Drosophila melanogaster: one gene and its partners. The protein of the gene in region 2 interacts with the protein of the main gene of each other region in a pairwise test. Each region holds a gene or a part of one and is shown on either strand. Other genes may lie near its edges. The genes, in order: CG13871, Patj and mTTF.

Evidence for each region.
Region 1: the proteins of Patj (region 2) and CG13871 interact in a two-hybrid assay, tested with the Drosophila melanogaster proteins (one large-scale study listed by BioGRID).
Region 3: the proteins of Patj (region 2) and mTTF interact in a two-hybrid assay, tested with the Drosophila melanogaster proteins (one large-scale study listed by BioGRID).

Annotation. Positions count from the first base shown.
Region 1 is NT_033778.4:20,313,746-20,319,957, forward strand, and holds CG13871 (uncharacterized protein), read left to right. Parts: upstream 1-3,577; 5' UTR 3,578-3,662; coding exon 3,663-5,225; 3' UTR 5,226-5,294; downstream 5,295-6,212. Other genes in the region: tapas, read left to right, coding at 6,068-6,212.
Region 2 is NT_037436.4:1,795,473-1,801,684, reverse strand, and holds the start of Patj (patj), read right to left. Parts: upstream 2,883-6,212; 5' UTR 2,762-2,882; exon of another isoform or gene 2,732-2,761; intron 2,704-2,731; exon of another isoform or gene 2,676-2,703; 5' UTR 2,537-2,675; coding exon 986-2,536; intron 926-985; coding exon 1-925. Other genes in the region: CG12020 (uncharacterized protein), read right to left, coding at 3,156-3,271, 3,336-4,320; Cdc37 (cell division cycle 37), read right to left, coding at 4,511-4,783, 4,848-5,507, 5,689-5,892, 5,953-5,985. UniProt on the Drosophila melanogaster protein: Involved in cell polarity establishment. Probably participates in the assembly, positioning and maintenance of adherens junctions via its interaction with the SAC complex.
Region 3 is NT_033779.5:14,345,263-14,351,474, forward strand, and holds mTTF (mitochondrial transcription termination factor), read right to left. Parts: upstream 3,529-6,212; 5' UTR 3,445-3,528; coding exon 3,036-3,444; intron 2,972-3,035; coding exon 2,391-2,971; intron 2,336-2,390; coding exon 2,093-2,335; 3' UTR 1,977-2,092; downstream 1-1,976. Other genes in the region: CG33090 (uncharacterized protein), read left to right, coding at 1-78; Send2 (spermathecal endopeptidase 2), read right to left, coding at 673-1,392; l(2)34Fc (lethal (2) 34Fc), read right to left, coding at 3,970-4,377, 4,447-4,518. UniProt on the Drosophila melanogaster protein: Transcription termination factor. Binds promoter DNA and regulates mitochondrial replication and transcription.

The DNA of each region.
Region 1 (6,212 bases), on a different chromosome or scaffold from region 2:
TTCCACACAAACAAAAAAAAAAAACGATAAGGGGAGCCAAACTTGAACGCGATTTTTGTTTTGCTCCAACGCTTCGTAGGTAAACAAATCGGATGTTATTGTTTGGGACGGGAACACTGCAACAAAAAGGGAGAAAGTTGTCTGAATATATATTATATATGTGTATATATTTGTATTTTGCGGTGTACAATTAGCAAATAAATTCGGTCTTGTGAGCTCATGATAATAATAAACACCCATGATAGTCAGTCAGTCACGCAATCAGTTGATTTGCTTACTTTGATTTTAGTTACTAAGCTTATCGCACTGAGTCAACTGTTGTTTATGATCTATTTTTGTGCCTAGCTCTCCCCTTAGAATGGAAAACCTTGAATTTTATGACCCACAGAGTGGAAAATTTGTCCCCAGAGATTGTATTTGTTATCACACGATTGGATGCACTTTTCAGATACTCTGGCATTCTGCAAACTGTAAACTTTCCCTAAATCGAATGCGAAAGAGCTTAGGTGCCACTCGAAATGCCAACTGGTTGCAAGCAACCAAGGTTGCCCGGGAAAAGGGCCCCTCCCCCCGTTTACGTATACTTAATATTATAAATGCTTACGCACGGGCTCAGGCTTTTGCGAGTGTCACAGACTAATTGGCATCCAATGGGATTTACACAATGTAAACAGCTTGTTTGCGAAAACAAAAGATTTAATTACAGTGAATTTTTAACATAACATAAACATAAGACTAGATAATGACAGGTGAAAAGAATACTGCTTAGAAATGTTTTCATAATTGTTTAGTTAGTGCTTCGTTAGTTAAACAAATGTCATTATTAAACTTATAATCCTTAAACTTATATGCAACTTTATTACTTCTTTGTCTGAACAGATTAAAAATATATTACATGCTACACTGTAATCCAAATCGTAGGCCTAGGGCGCCTTTGGCAGCTGTTCTTGTGATCCCATTTTTCTCGAGGCCCCACCGCCATGCGGAACAATGCCAAATGCTGTGGCGCTTTTCATTTGTTTTTGTTTACGGATTGTGCCAACCAGGCCGACTGCCACGCCCCCTGCGCCCACCATACCGCCCCATTTGGTGGGTCGTTTTATATAGCGGCCATATAGTCGAGATCTTTATAACTGCGTCGTAATGAAATTCTCGCCGTGTTTGCCGAGATGTAGACAAACATTTTTTGATGGTGCAATTTGAATTTAGTGTATTGCACCAGCCCAAGGTTATTCAAATATCTAAGAGAATGAAACTAGAAAAACAGCAATTGCAATGCGAGAAGGCAATCTGTTAAGTTTTTTTTTTTTGCTTTTCGGCTTGAAGAAAACTTAGTTCTTGAGAGTTATAAAGACTGCGCACTTTGAAAGGGAATTGGCTGATTATTTAGCTATTTTGAGTGCTTTAAGGCTACTCGAAATATGATTACTTATCTGGAGAGTAATCATAAAAAAATGAAAATTATTACCACAGACCACACTTATCTATGTTCCATAACAATTTATTTGGACCAGCAATCCTATTTTGAAAGCCAAAGAAGGAAGCAAATAAACAGTGCGACATCGATTCAGATGTCTAAGCTTCAAATAAATAAACTATCAATCGAATTCATAATTATTAATTAGCTAATGAATTCGCGACGCAAAAGAAGCTCAGGGCTGTTGTGGCAGACGATTTACGAGGCAGGCCAATAACAATTGGTCGCCAATGTTATTGGATGAGTTGTGTTTTTTATTGGATCGGAAGACAAAGTTCGGAGGTCGAGCTGACTTAAGCCTTATTGGCTTAATACGTGCGGCTTTCTCCATTGACGTCACTGGTGAAATGTGAGCGGTGTGCTGATGAAACTAGTTCAATGTCGCTGGCCCACTATGACGTCACCGTTGGCAGACATCGCTCATCCGCCACGTCGGCCCAGTCGGCCCAGTCGTCCCAGCCGGCCGGCCTTTGGAATGGGCGTAATATATGGGATCCGCTCGAGATTCGGTGTTCCTCACTCCCACTATCAACCAGCAACATCCATGACCCGATATGCCTTCCAGAAACTTCCCTGCGCCACGTGTCGCGTGTCTGGCGTGCGTGTTTGTAAACAACTGCACTGCCATGTCCTTTTTACTATCAAAACAACAGGACACCAGGGCGCAGGCGCTGGAAGGCTATGCACATTCCACACGGAACAGAGGCTGGAAGTCCTGGAAGGAGGAACGAGAACACAGAGCCCAACACTCCAGGGCGTTCAAATGTGTATACTCGATGTCCTGACTTAAATATTACTTATGATAACAAGTTAAGATAAATAAATATAAAGTTAATATATAGCTTTGTCTAAAGAAACTACCTTGACAAAATGACTGCAATAAATGTTTATATTAAATTCATAAACATTAATTCTAGAAAAGAGCACTAGGCTTTGTGTACTTTTTTTTTCCAAATATTTGTGTTTTCTTCTTCTTTTTTTACAAAAGAAATCATTCATTTATTGAAATATTACTAGTTGTTAACTGGGCCTTATATTCCGGGACGCCACTGTCGCGTTGGGGATGCCCTGCTCTTGCGCACTTTTATTGACAATTTCTTTGTTGTCTGCTCCCCGTTGGTGTTGCTTTTTGGCTCAAATTGCCTGGTTACCGCAGTCATTTGGCCAAGTGGCAAAATCAATAGAGGGAGTTGGAGATGCCAGGAAACAGAAGCCAGGAGCCCATTACCTTATTATAATTGGGAGTATTATCAATCGCAGGACGGCACACACATGAAATGAAACGCCGCCTGCCGCAGGAAATGCGTGGAAGCCAGGAGCCTCTTACTGCTTTTTACTCCAGTTGTAGGAACCGTTGTAGAAAAATAAAATCAATATTATCATTTTGGCGTGCATATTGAGGACAGTCATTGCACTTGGTTTCGCAACACTTGGTTTCCGCTTGTATTTAAGGCATTAACTAAGGATTTCGGACCCCGTTTAGCGTTTAGTTTTTGTGCCTTTTGCGTTTGAGTGTCATTTAACGATGAGTTCGCAAACTCTTGAAAACACGCCTATGACACAAAACTTTCAGGGAGATATGGGAAATCTCTGTTTTTCGCTTAACTTCACAATTTATTATAATTTAGTTTGTATTTAATATGTCCATTTATTTCGAGGATGTGCTGCACAGTTGGACGTGAAAAACTCGACTGTGGCTTACGAACTGAATGAGCACAGCATTTCCACTTTCCAGTCCGATTTCCAGTAACCTTCCAACCACTGATTCCCGTTATGCTTTGTTGCTTGAACAAGCCTTCTCCGTGTCCTTAGAAGTTCGACCTGACGTCGTCCTTTGTTGAGCAAGAAAAATATGACTGCCTTCTTTCAACAAAATATTAAAAAGATTATTTACTACCATTTAAACTCTACTTGACCACTTGAGTTCTTTGGGCAAATAATCTACCAATTCACTTTTAATGTATACTTTTTTTTTTAGAATTCTTCGCTTTAATTATAGAAGATTTTTAAAAAATTATTTAAACATAAAAACAACCAATGAGCATAACATGTCATGGAACTGATTTCGAATATAAGGAATTTTACAAACATGACTCGGCGATAATTCCAGCAAGATGTTGTGCTTATGAGAACAATGTCAACGCGGATTTTGAGCCACAGCGCAGTCCGACTTTCATTACTGGCAATGGCAATCCTGGCGAGCGTTGGACAAGCGACCGACCGATCCGAAGGAAGATCAGTACGCAGGTACTCATATGCGGATACCTCGTGGCCCAGGCGGCCGTTCGGCAGCGAGCGAAGGGACTTGGCGCCTTCGGAGCAGCGATACTTCTCCGATCCGGAACTGCTCTTCCAGCGGCTGGACGACATGGAGCAGAAATTGGGAATTCCAGAAAAAATGGCTGCTGCTGGCAAGGTGAAATCGGAACACTATCTGGTTGGTCCCACGAATGTTGCCGCCCAGATGCTCAAAGATAACTTGTACAAATTTCCGATTGATGACGGCGCCATTGGACAGGGAATGCACGATGATTGTCTGGGTAAGGAGGATGTGGATGATCCCTTCGAGTCCCTGGCCAGGATGAACTTCAATGAGCATTTGAATGAGCGTAAGTCCGATCGTGAGCTCAAGAGGGTGCTGGGTGGCTACTTAAACGACCAGCAGCTGGATGGAAAACCAGCTGTGGCAACAGCCAATTTGCTGGCCAAGGTCATTAGCTCCAAGGTCGATCAGCCCAGGAAGTCTGGGCCTTGTCGTGGCACCACGGCTCGATCCCACGGGTTCACCACAAGAAGCCCTACGACTCATCGGACGACCCTTAGTACCACAACGCGCAGTCCCACCACTTTCTGCCTTCCGGAACCCTCATCCGATCCTCCGCTCAAGCCGCTTCCCACATCTCCACCAACACCTCGTCCTCCGCCTTCCGCACCTTCGCGTCCACCAACGACGCGAAAGCCATCTGCTCAAAGGATTAAGCCCAGTAATAAGTGCCCCATATCGACGAAATCTCAAAAGCTAGGAGGTGCCAAGGTGCTGCTGGAAATCATTTTGGCCACCAAGCAGCATGCCCTATCGGTGCTCAAGAATCTCAACTACCTGGAATTGGAACTGCTAAGTCACTCAACGGACGACGATGTATCGGAGAACCACGTTAAAGAGAAAGAACCAACAACAAAGACGTCTGAACGTATCGAAAAACCCGAGCCAAGGCCACCATCCAGGGTATTTTCCTTTGGAATTCGACCAGCGAGCCAAAAAGAGAGCTTGTACGACTTGGCAGTGGCCAAGGAGGAGGAGTTGAAACTGCAGGATCGGGTGTGGGAGGAGCACCAGCAGCAGATGAAGCTAAGGAGGCCAATGAAGCCAAAGAGGTTTGAGGTTGCTCCGGCGGCTGCTGCACGCCTGGAACCTTTTCAGGAGCCTCGAAAGCCACTGAAGTCCATAAATTCCATGGAGCCTTTTACTCCTTTGGAACCAGAAACCTCCGACGACAACAGACGTATCAATCTGGAAGCCTTGAGCGTGGTAGTCAAGCCAATGTCCTCCTTTCCCAGAAAGGATTCTCTTAGCTCGTCGCCGCGAGCACAAATGAATGCTGTTCAATTGGAGGGCACAAGCGATGATGAACTGCATCCAGGCAATACATTTGAATTGAGACCAAGAAAGAAGAAAAAACACAAGTTGTACGCTATGGAAAAGCAGACACAGACTAAAAAGCTACCCATTGCAGGAGTTTTTTATTAAGTCATTTGTATAAATATTAACAGAGTTTTATTGAAACATTTATTCAACACTTAAATATATTTTAAAAATAAGAAGTTTGAATTTTGGCGCCAATACGTTAACCCTAAGACAGTGCTTGCTTATAGCTTTTCGTATTTATATGCCACTTGACGTATTTTTTGACATCCAGCCCACGGTCTCACTAGAAGGCGCCGAAAATTTTAGAAACGTCAAGCGAGAATGAACTCCCGTATTGTTGTGTTAAAAGGAACTTCGTTCGGGATCATCGGAATATTCATTTCTCAGGAAAACCCCAATAGTCTCATTTATGCAGTTTGCAGTGCATATCTTGCTGAGACTCGATTTTTATTAATTGTTTAATAGTTTGGTAAGGACAGAAAACTCACAATATCGCATTACGACACATTCTTTGTATTTGCACAAACGAAATCAAATTCTAAAATATAGATCAAAATAATTTAATTCTGCGTCTGCGCCGCCGCTTTCGTCCATCTCTTTCTCGTCTCTATTCTCTTTATTTTTTGCCCCTTGTCCGTCTTATTTTTCTAGCCCTGTGTTTGCCAATTTTATTGTGCACACTGAAAGAATAACGCGGAACAGGCGCAACTCAATGTTTGCAGAATAATTTAGACCCTTTCAACCCTTTAGACCCTATAGTTTAGAAATAGTATATTAGAAATTTCTTTTTGCCGCGTTGTTTTTTTCTGTGCATGCTTAATTGTTGCTGATTTGGGAGTGGGGGTGGCGGTGGGCGCACGCATTCCACGCCACTTGAATCATGCTCAATGGGTTAACCTCTCTCCGCCTCTCGCTCTCTTCGACAGAATCGTGGAACGATCATAATGGAAAAGCAGGAGGTCCTGGAATACGTGGCCAAGGTGGTCAGGGCCCTAATCACGTCAGCTAAGCCGCCGGTTACGCTGCGGTCCATCGTCGCAGATTACATGGAGATTGAGGGTGAGCCGATACCCTTTCGCAGGCTGGGCT
Region 2 (6,212 bases):
TGCAAGCCTTCAGTGAGTTGTCCGTCATGGGCAGTGGTTTGGCCACACCAATGCGCACCACTCCTTTCGAAGCACCCTTCAAAGCCTGCACTGCCTGATCCAGCGAGGCGTTCTCCAGGTTAATGGAGTTCACAAACAAAAGTCGATCTCCGGGTATAAGGCGTCCGTCCAATTGAGCCACCCCTCCAGGGACCAGAGAACGGATTACAATCAGCGTATCGTTGGGATCCAACGGATCTTGATAATCCAGAATAGAGAAGCCCAGACCGCGATCGCCCTTGACCAGCTCGATAATTTGCGGTTGGGACGACCACATAGCCAATCCGGTTAGTGGCTCCAGGGAGCGCGACTTCAGCTTACTAAACGAAGCAGCGGCGGCAGCCACTGAATCTCCATCGGCCACGGAGCCCGCGGTGGCCAGACTACCATCTGATTTGGCCTTCACCAGACGATCGGTAGCAGGCAGCAGGTTCTCAAAGTTGTTGCTTAGCTTTTTCAGGGTGTCATCAGAGAATGGGAGAAGCGAGCTGTTCCTGTTGCGACCGCAAACCATGCGCACATCCAACGGCAGTTCCTTAAGTATAGCCACCACCTCCAGGTGGTTCATACCCAGCAACCGCTCGCCGTTTACCTCCAGCAATTCATCGCCAGAGCGGAGTACTCCATTCACGCCAACGGGTCCATCAGGTAAGATTGAACGAATATAGTGATGGGGTCGTACCTCGCGCCCTCCTTCTACGTCCACGGTTCCCTCCAAGGAAATCCCCAAGCCTCCGACCGCGAACTTCTTGATCTGGGCCACAATCACCTCCACATCGGAGCCCACAATCTTCTGCCATTTGCGAATAATTTCGGTTTCGGCGTCGTCGGACAGTTCCGGATCGGTGTAGTACTTGTGACGGGTGATCACCCCGCTGTTCTTGGCCTAAAACATGTTAATGCGCTATACGTTTTGCTGCTGTGTTACCCGTTAGCTAATACTCACCTCCGTTTTATCCGCCAAGGGTACAACTTCCGTGGGTATGATCTTCGTGGAGCCGTCTAGGGAGTCCCTTACTGCTACTAGTTGCTTACCCGCTCCAAAGGAGCTTAATGTGGTGGTGGTCATTGTGGTGACCGACGGCGGAGTGGTCATGAATGCTTCTGGCGCTGGTAAGGCTTCCTCTTCCAACTCGCGAGTGATGCTGCGTGATGGTGTAGTTGTGGCGGAGGACGTTGTGGCCACGGGCGTGGGCATGGGAGCCCTTGAAGGCGTTCCAGGTGCACTGGATGGAAGCTTGTCATTCGCAGCGATAGCCTGCTGCAGCTGCTCGAATTTGGGGCCCCTCAGGTAGCGTTCCAAGCGCAGGTTCACCACCTGACCAGACTTCTTAAGCAGCTCTACGGCCTGGTGGTTGGAGTAGCCTTGTAGCGACTGGCCGTCAACTTCAATGATGCGATCGTTGACCCGGATGCGACCACTCAGGTCCGCTGCTGAACCGGGCGACACGCTCTTTACGAAAATGCCAGACAGCTCTTCTTTCTCACACACATAGCCGGCAATTGTGATGCCCAGGCCGTTGGCATCCTTCTTCAGCTCCACCTGAAGCTTCTCCGTTTCAGGAAGGGCAAGCAATTCCTCTAGGTCGATGTTTGGATCAATAAGCATTGATGTCTCGCCGCGATAAACGAAACGATCGTCTTCCGTGGTGGTCTGCGGAGTGGAGGCCGTGGAGCTCTCGCCAAAGATTTCCGGATAGCCGGTAGATATGAGGTACCGCTCCAGCTCGGCAGGATCGACGAGGACGCGCGTGGGCACCACAGCAGTGCCCGGTTCCAGGGCGTACTGGGGCGTAGGCACGCTCTGCTCAACGGGACGGGCAACCACTAGGCGGACGTGGGTTCCAGACTGTCTCAGCACGGCAGCCACCTGTTCGGATACCATTTCGTGCAGGTTGACGTCTCCAATCTGGAGGATGTGGTCGCCCGAGCGCAAGCGTCCGTCCTTATCGGCCACGCCACCCGGCAGGATGGTTTTTACAATCACTCCCGAGTTGCGAGCTCCAATAATACCGAATCCGAGACCCGTGCCGTCGTTGACCAGCTCTATGGCCTGGATCTGAGCGTAGTCCGTGGCGTAGAGATCCGCCACTCCGGCTCCTTTGGAGTTCTGGCTCTGCGGGCGCGGCTCCTCGCCGACGCCTCCGGACTTATCTGGACTGCCCGGAGCCGAATGGGAGTGCGAGGAAGAGCGCTGTTCGTCAAAGTCGTACATCACCTCGCCACCATTCAGACTGAGTACAAGGTTGCCGGCCACATCGATGTCGAAGTCGTTGGGCAACATGGACGGATGCTGAGCCAGCTGGGCGTTCAGCTCGGACAACGAGTCCTGCACGTGGACGATGGTGCGGAAAACGGGATCCTGCAGAATGCCCAGAATGGTGCTAAGGCTCTCGGCCGTCTGCATTTGCAGCTTGGGGTCGTCGGACTCATCGATGCCCTTCTTCACTGCCTCGATCTGCTGAAGGGCGCTGGAAATATCCGCGCTGAGGTGCATCTTGCGTCAGTGGGCGTGGTCAGCGAGCGGTGCGCGGTGCGGTCAGTGGAGCGTGGTCCCCGTCTCTATCCCACTTCCGCTGGCGTTTCTATGGACTTCTGGGTGGGGGCGTTGTGGCGTTGGCACACTTTGTCCTAAACTGCAAAACGGGTAATTCGATTTGGGCTCTAAGTGGGACAGCTTCGGATCAGTTACTGTGCCGTTTGGATGCAGCGAGTTGTTTACCCTCTCCTATGCACTCTTTTCGGTGGCCACTTGCTCTGCTGCTGCTGCTGTAATTGATTTTTAATTATCTCTGAAATGGAATGCCAAATGCATTTTCTTTTCACAAACAGCTGATGGACAGGGTTGCCGAGCGGCTGCGTTGTGCATCGATAAGCAATCGACATAATCGGAACAGTTGCCACCTTTTCAAAATCAATTCAAATTCGACCGTTACATCTGCTAATTTAATTAAATCTAAGATTTTTGAATATAGTCTGCATGTGCTCGTATGTAATATGGCTATACGAAATAACCCAACAACATCTATCCTTTTAAACGCAAATTTTGAATTTAATTTCTCTGTACGCACAAATATCTGTGTTCCAAATACGGAAAAACAATAAGGTGTCTGCCATCAAACCATGTTACGTTCCTCCTCCTCCTCCAATTCTATTTCGAGCTTGCGGAATTCGCGGAAGAATTCGCGAGTGATATGCTTCATATGTGGAGTCAAGTACTTGGGAAAGATATCTGCAGAAGAAACAGAGAAACTATCAGAAACTATTGAAACCTCCAACAGAAAAGGAAAACCCACAATCAAATTCTATAATGAGATCCCCGAACTGCTCCACCTTCTTGTTGGCCTCCTTGATGGCCGTAACTGCATCCAAATTGCGGCACTTGGGGAGTCCCTCGAGGGGAACCACTTTGGTGTATCCCGGCTGCACTACGTCCGTAATGACCACCTTCAACTGGCGCCGGTCCAGCGTGCAAATGAAGAACGTGAAGCCGGTGAAGGCCTGGCACAGGCCAATAGACTGCCTGTAGACCAGGTCGTGTTGGTTTCTCCTCTCAAAGTCCGGATGCGGCTTGTCGGCGGCAATGAAAATAATATCACCCGGAATGGTGGCCGGATAGCGATCGCCCTCCTCCTTGAAGCAGAAGCGAGTTCCGGCCGTAGTTCCCGGGGCAATGTTCAGCTTTAAGGTGTGCTTGCGCTTCTCCAGCCGCGACTCCTTGGCGTCCACGATCTCCTGGCGCCACACGTTCATCAGCTTGACGCAGCCAGTGCGTACTTCCTCCAGCGACAGCTCGATGATCCTCTCCGTACTGGCGTCCTTGGAACGCACGCCAATGCCATGCTGGCGCGTAGCGTACAAGCTCGGTGGATTGGAGATCGCATCGATCACGTTGGCATACGGCGAGTAGCTACCGAAGACCCGCTCGTAGACCTTCATGTGGTCGCCGTCGTACTGATAGGGCGGAAAGTATCCGTTCGGCAGCATGACGCCCTCGAACAAACCCGCCTCGCCAAAGCGATCGTATATGGCCCGGTACAGATCGTTGCCCAGCACATCGAAGGCCATGTTGACGTAGGCCCACTGCCTGGGCTCGCCCATGGGTGAGAGGTGCGTGAGACGACCCTCCTGGGCCAGCGGCACAAAGTCCTGCTCGTCCTTCTTGTCGCGATGTGGGCAAAGCCGAATGGCCAGGCGGCGGTAGGCCAGAGTAATCTGCTCCTTGGTGGCGCCTCTGGGCTGATCCAGCACCGCGTAGTAGTCCAGCTCCGGCCGGTTCATTGTTTCTATTCGGAGTCGAAGCGTATAACAACTGGCAGAAGTGTTCACAGAATGTTTGACGTGTGACTGAGAATTTATTCAAATTATATACAATAACTCAACTGACGCAGGATCTGGCTATGGATGAAATATGCTTGTGGACAAATACATTAAGATTAGAGCTATGGTGTAGATGGAAACGTGGCGGCGATCAGTCAACGTCCTCGGTGCTGACGCCAGTGTAGATGGGCTCCTCCTTGGCTGCACTCTCTGATTTGGCATCGTCGGTCTTCTCCTCGCCACCGGCGACGTCATCCGAGTCATCTTCCTCCTTCTTGTCACCCTCCAAGTCAGCGGCATTGGGCACCCAGAGACCAGAGTCCACACAACGCTTCATGTGCAGCTTGGCGACGTCCACGGGCATGGCCGCAATGGTCTTCTGCAGCAGCTCTACGTCGCGGGACTCGAAACAGGCCTTTAGTTCCTGCGGAGCAAATACATGAAAAGTTAGTCAAGTAATTCCCATACAGTGAATCACTAGAACGTACATCGGGCAGGGATTCAAAGACATCGGCTGGGTCCAGACCACCAGGTCCGAGGCGCTCCTTGCGCTCCTCCTCTTCGGCCTGGGCTATCGCCTCCTGGATCTTCTCCTGCGCACGCTTCTGGATACGTCCTTTGAAACCTTCGATCTCGCTGTCGAACTGCGCGCGGTACTCGGGATGACAGTGCTGGATCTTTGAGAAGAAGGAGCTGACACAGGCGCGAGGATCCACGTCCAGCTGTTTGGCCAACTCTAGAATGTACTGCATGCAAATGCACTGATGCGCCACGTGGGCCATCAGCTCGTGCTTCTCCTCCATTTCCAGGTTGATGGACCAAATGACTAGGTAGTTGGCCGTCTCCTCGCCCACCAAGTGAAGATGCTCCTGCAGAAACCGCTTCGAATCGTCGTACTTGCGCAGCATGCCATACTGCTGGCAGAGCTTCTCGTTCTCCTTGACGAATTGCTTCATGCGCTGCTCTCGCTCTTCCTCGGACAGATTCTCATCCGGCTTGCGGCCGGCCTTCTTGTTGATTACGGTCTTCTCAAAGCCGGGCTTGCTGATGGTGTCCACGTTCCAGGGTGTTTTCTTTTCCTTCTTAATCATCTCGCTCTCGATGCGGTCCAGCTCTTTGCCCTCGGCCTCGATCTTTTCGAGCTCTTTCTGTAGGCGATACAAATTAGGGATTAAGCATTGCGATGAAAGATGGATGGCCACTTAGGATGATAGTCAATCATAAGCTTGACAATAAGAATAAATTAGATGGATTGAGAACATAGGGAACTCCCAGACCAGGCATTAGCCTAAGCAACAAGTGCGCAGTGCATTCGGTGCAATGACCCACCTTCAGGGCCTCCTCGTCGCCATCCTTCTTTGAGATCCGCTCCTTGACGTCCATGAGGCGCGCCTGGTAGCTCTGGCGCTTTTTCTTAAGCTCGTCCTTCTCGTGGTCCATCTCCGCCATGCGCTCCACGCGCGCCTGGTGCCGCCAGCGGAACAGAGAAGGCGTGTCTATGTTTGGGTGAGTGTCGTCCTCATCATCCGAAATCTAAAAGGTAGTGTGCCGATTAGGAGGACTTTTTGGGTTGGCACCCAGCAGTGGGCTCACCTCGATGTTCTTCCACTTGCTGTAGTCCACCATTTTGCTGTTTCTTTGCTTCGGATTTATATTTGAATGTAAATGCTGCAGGTTTTTGTTCTTTTTCGGCTGCTTCCTTTTTTTGGATTGCTCTGGAAATTAGTGTGACCGCAGGGCTATTGCGGAATAATACCATAATAAGCCCCGCTTACTCTGGGGCCGCGCTAGGAAATAGTAGTCATGCATGAGTGCACCAGATTGAATTGAAATACCCTGTCGTTTTTAATTTA
Region 3 (6,212 bases), on a different chromosome or scaffold from region 2:
TCCATTGGCTATATGCGTCCGTTGAGCATTTGGTCCATGCAGGTGGCATTGGAGCGACGGCGAGCCCAACGCGACTAAGTCGAGAGTACAATCTAATCCGAAGTCTACACAACCAAAGATATTTCTAAGCCAGCACAAAGATTTTCTTAGCGTTTAGTTCGATTCTTCTTTTGAGGCTGAATGTGTAACGAGCTTATCGAGATGGTGCGAGTCGAGGAAGATGTTGTCTCTGAAGTGGTTTTCAAATTTATAGCTTTATCTGTACTTTTAAGCTGTGGAATCTGTTGGCGCTTACTCCATGTCTTCTCTAGCTTTAAAGCCAGTCACAAATCAAACTGCTACTCTCTGTTGAAGTACAACTACGCAATGGTATTCAAATGGAGCACAAGTCGTATTTAGATGTTAGCTAAGAGAAATATTTAAATCAATTATAAATGTTTTAATTAATTATTAATGTCATAAGCATATATGTATTTCAATGTGTAAGCAGTTGCTGTCTGCAATAAATGTGACCGAGTTGTCAGAAATAATTTATTTAGAGTTGAGTTATTCGACTATCAGATACTCATTACTCAGCTAGTGGGGGTGTCAAAACGTTGGAAATTGGGATGTTGCCAAAATAGTGGAAATAGTCAAGTCAAATGATAAAATTAGTTGTGCAATTGTAAATATTTATTTGTTTCGATTCGCTGACATTATTTCATCGATAGCATTTAAGATCCATTCACGGAAATATGGGACACTAGTGTAGATTGAACTATACGTGCAATCCTTTGTACCCCCGGATACAACACCCACAAGTTGTTGGTCAAACACCAACGGTCCACCAGAGTCTCCTTTACAAGCCGCCCTTCCAAAAGATCCGGCGCATATTCTTGACGGTTCAGTTAATCCACAATAGTACGGCCATTGAATGTAAAGGTTTACTCCTTGAAGATCGATGGGATGTGAGTAATAAGAAGAACTTCCCCAGCCAGAGACGAAGGCAATCGATCCAGGCGGGGGATTTGTCTTGGCCAATGGAATGGGCTGAACTTGGTTTGTGAACTCAAGTGGCTTACTTAGCCGCACGATGGCGATGTCGTTTCCTAATCCCTCATGCGTCCTTATAGCGGCCACATCGACAACACTTCCATTGGAGTTCTTCAAGGCGGATCCTGCCCGAACTTGATATCCCTGGCCCTGGACGCAATGGGCCGCAGTAATGATGATATCTGCGCTGTAAATGGAGCCACCGCATAAATGTTTGCCATCACGTTGTATGGACACCTGCCATGGTGCCTCCTCGATTCCAATGGGTTGTCCACCGATAATGCGTTCTTCCGGCCGGATTACTGGTCCTGCGGACAGGGAATTGAGCGCCAATAGCAACAGGAAGCTTTGGATGAACATCTTGACCAGTTTGTATGATACTTTGAATTGCAGTGGCTTCACGTCCAAAGTAACCAGTCTTTTATACACAACTCAGTTAGCAATATTCTATTTGAACCTCAGTAATAGTTTATGTATCTAGATATAGAATATTCTCTATTCTTGTAAAGCAATCAAAATATTGAAAAATACTTCATTCGCTAAATATAAACATCATAAATAATTTAGCTGCCTTTTGCTTTCAAGAAATTTTTATCGCTAACGGTGAAAATGTGGAGGGGCAATAACATTTCTGGAATTTTCTAATTAACTAAGTTTGCAATTTGGTTTGTTCTGCGTTTATAAATGTTGAAAGAAAATTTCCAACTGATTAAGCCATCCGAAGTGGTAGAATGACTGCAGAGAGTCGTCCAAACTAAACAAACTAAACTTTCTGTCCGCAGGACGAGTAATCCGACTGGTGGTTAAAAAACCTATTGAAATCGAAAAGGTTCCCTGATTGGTTTCCTTACAATATTATGGAAACCTTACTTGTTAAGGGTCCTTTAAAAATGAAGATACCATCATAACAGCGGTCCCCTGGTCGTAATTAATAACGTTTTTTGAATATTGGCTTTTAATCGTGTTCAATTTCGTGGCAAAACTTTTGAAAAAAGTATCTTAACTTTACAACAACTTTTTAAGCTTTCACGGTGATGGCATCAGGTCATTCGTCAGTTCATCATCCTTCTGATACACTTTGCGGATTTCTTTCATGGCTTATCCAGTTCTGCAAAAACTTATCGTACTCCCTCCGGCTGCGGCAAAGAATTACAAGAGAGGAGGGTCGACAACCGTGCGATTTCAGTTCTTCCATGCGCTCCTTTGTGGTTTTCAGGCTGTGGCATAGAATTCGAGGATTTTGAGCGACCTCAAATCTGGTAAACTGGGCCTCATCGAGTAGGTAGTCTAGCACCTCTTTGATCTGAAGGCAAAATTGTATAGCTTATGATTGTTTGAGTTAACCCATTGTGACTTACCTTGGTAACTCGCACGGTGTGCACCTGCGGATGTTTGTCCATGATTGCCTTGGCTTCACTGGTGCTGAAACCAAGACGATGCGCTAAGTATTCCACCACGGAGGAGAACTCTCCCAAAACCTTCAGTTCGTCGAGAGAAAGCTTCAGGGAGCGCTGCAGTATTGGCTCCGGGCAGCGCACCATCCACGGCATGATCTTGTCCTTTTTCGCCCGCTTGGCGCGCTCCAAACGCAACTGAACAGACTTTGGAGTATAGCGAAAGGCCCATAGATCCTTGAGTACGTTTATTGGCGACACATTGTAGTCGATCATGTGCTGCAGGTTCTTTTCGAACATCTCGAACGGCATTTCCAGGATAAACAGCCTCTTCGATAGATATTTGCTCACAATATCGGGGCTGACATCCAGCTTTTCGCTGATATAGTAGACACGATTTCGCTGTGGCATTGCATCCCTCTCAGAGTTCAGAGCACCCACCAGTTTTCGAAGACGTGGAACAGTGAGGCGCAGGAAAGGCACAAAATGATTGATGTCCTTAAAGTCCATTGACTTGAGTAGCTGCATCTTTAGCTCCAAGCGTTCTGAATAGATAAACAAATAACCGATGATTTAATCACATAAAGGATATAAAGCAAATGAGCTTACTATTGTCCAGCGACAGTAGCCAAGGATACTCCACGAAGCTGCGCCTGCTAACGCCCTCTAGCTGCAGTGTGTCCATGACCAGAGTCAGTGATCTACCGCGGTAGCAGCGGTGCACCAGCTCGTCGCTGATTATCTTTTGGAGCTCAGCGTCCGTGAAGCGAAAACGTTCCCGCAGAGCTTCGAGGAGCACCCGCGTCTTGGTTCCAGTCTCCCGATCCTGGCGATAAGGCACATAATCGTTTTCCGCCTCGTTGCTACCTAAAGTGCCACTGGAGGTCAGTCTGCTCGGACTGGCGCGGTTTTCGTACTGCGAGAAGAGTAGGCGCCTGCTGCAGTGCATTGGGTGCATATTTAAGCCGGCATGCAGCTTGAGTGCCGTCTCAAAGCTGCGCAGAAGGCTTCTAATCATCCCGAATTTGCTTAATTTACAGAATCAAGACAGAAAATAAAGTTCTTCAACTTATAAAACAAGCGGAAAACAGCTGATATGTTGCGGCGATAAACAGCTGACCAAGTGGGCCAACTGAAAGCTGGAGTATACGACACTCAAACAATTATCGTTATCGGTTTTGAAAATAATGACCGTTATTCGGAACAGCAATTTAATAAATTTAGCATTTGTTTTCTAGGAAAATATAATAACTTTTCTAGGTGCAATTGATTTCATAATATGTTTAGGAAGTGTGCTGGTTCATACACAATAACATACACATACACTTTTTAAATATAAGTGTGAAACACTTCCAATATTTATTTTCAAATCTACTAAGCATTCTTAGACAGAGAGTCCCACAATTGAAATCACTCCCATTTTATCAACGAACTTTTTGATTTTATTTTCAAAAATACTACGCTCCAAAGCTAATCGGAACATTAACGCTAAACAAAGACTTGTAGGATTTTGAACAAATCATGAAAACATCTATCACAAGCACTACTCCACATCGATGTCTTTTGTGACGCGACCCACCCAGTAAACGAATCCGGTCTGCACCACGGTGGCCATGAACTTGACGTTGCCCTTGTAGCCTGCTGGCGGAATCCAGTCGAAGGTGATGCCGGTCAGCGGCTTGCCCTTTTGCGCACTCAGATGGGTGATGGTGTCGTCCTTGCCGGAGCAGTCCAAGGTCTGCGAGTGCACGGAGTCCACCACCTGGAACTGGCCGACGACGCGGTTCTGGCCATCGCGTGCCTGGATCATGAAGCCAAGGAACTCATCGCCGCCCAGCGTCAGGGTCAGCTTTTGATCCGAGCGCACATGGGAGGGTCCGGAGATGCTGTACGGCGGCTTGGTCACCTGCAGCTTGGCTCCGTGCTGGGGCGTCAGGTCACGACAGGCGGCCTTTGGGATAATGAAGATGGGAATATAAGGAATCTATCCGTCATGTATTTCGATGGGGCAGGTTCATACCTTTGGAGCACCATCGGAGTAGGCGTGGACACTGATGGCCAGGCAGGCCGCAAGAACCAACAAACGGAACATATCTGTTTAAGGGAAAATTAAAAATAATATCACATGAGTTGGAAACATCGCTTTAGTAACGATTAAAATCCAGTTGGTTGGCTTAATTATGCTACATCACTGTGAAGAACAGTCCACGTAGTGACGAAGCGCACCAAGTGAGTGTGCGAAATCCTTCCATTTTCCATAACCGAATATGCTTAAGCAGAACAAGTTTTAATGACACAAGTACTTGTCAATGTTTCTACTTTCAACTTCTAGTGCTTTCAAGTTGAATCCAATTACATATTAAAATATATTTACTGCCGGTCATTGTTTAACATTTTTAGATTCGTGCATGCTGCTTAATTGCGTTAACTAGTTTTTCATAAATTAATTAATTAACATTTCCACTCAAGTGAGACTTTTTTCACTGGCCTTGGCCAGTTTGACTTTGCTTAAGTTTTTTATTTATTTAGTTTTTTTTTTTTCCTTTTCAAAGTTTACACTTGTATACGTGGGCAGGCGCAAATATATTGAAAACTAGCTCCAATTATGCAGTTTGTCAACGCCAACGTTTATTATGCAGTTTGTTCGGTCCCAGTTGTCGCCATAATGGGTATATTTCTCTGCAGCCTTGACTGTTGACAGTCTGTGATTCTACAAGATTTGTGGATTAGGCTGCAGTGTTACTGTCTGATTTGTAATAACCAGTATTAGTGCCGAAAAAAAATGTCAATCAAAACATTTTAATTATTTACGGGAAACCACTCGAAGTGAACTTAACATTTCAATCACGATCGGCTCGTAAATCTTCAGATTCGCAGAATTAAGAAGGCGCAGACAAAAGCTTTGTTCAATATTGAAATTGGCCAAGATGCATGTTGATTAAACCAATTTTTAAAAAATCATCAAACTGGTTTTTCGGACGTAAACGAAAACTGTTTAAAGCCAAACCAGTTTGCAGTACATTTCCATAGAAGAGTAACTCTTTTTTTTACCGTGCGATAAAAATCGCCTAGAAATGACAAGTGACAATTGAAGACAACAGCCTAAGTACTTCCTCAAATCGAATTCTCAGGTTCAAGGTGGATTGGAGGCTTGTGGAGTTCGAAGTACCGATCTGATTGATCGTCGGCCTCCTCCACTTGGGTCGCCATGGATTCGAAAAGACCTTGTCAAGACCGGCCCGTAAGCCAAGTTTCCATTTGTCTTGCAATATGCTAAAGTTCAATATTGGACATGTTAGTGTCGGAGCCAAGTTTTGCTTCTTTATTTCTTTCCCTCTGCGACTTTTAGCCGTATATTTATGTATTTATGGGCCTTTGTCCAACCGGTTGGGCGATTTGTTTAGATAAAATCTCAATACATGGTTGTTTAATGTCATTACGCTGAGCTATGGCCATAGGCCTCAATTAGCCAACATTTATAATGGCTTGGAAAATATTATTATTATCAAGTTGGTGGGACAGAACTGCTGAAGCTTGAAATTCGCATTCATACCGAAACTATCTATGTCATTTCCGAAAAGGTTTTTTTTTTAATGATCATATTAGAATATGTATTCTAAATTAAGCTTAGTCACTTTAAAACCCGAAAAAAAGGAAGAGTACAAATCCTTTAAGTTTTTAAACCTTTACAACTGTTTCACAAAAAATCAACTGAACTTTGAAAATCGTTTAGGCCAAGTAAACTAATTGCTTAATCATTTAAACCTACCGATCAGAAATACACAC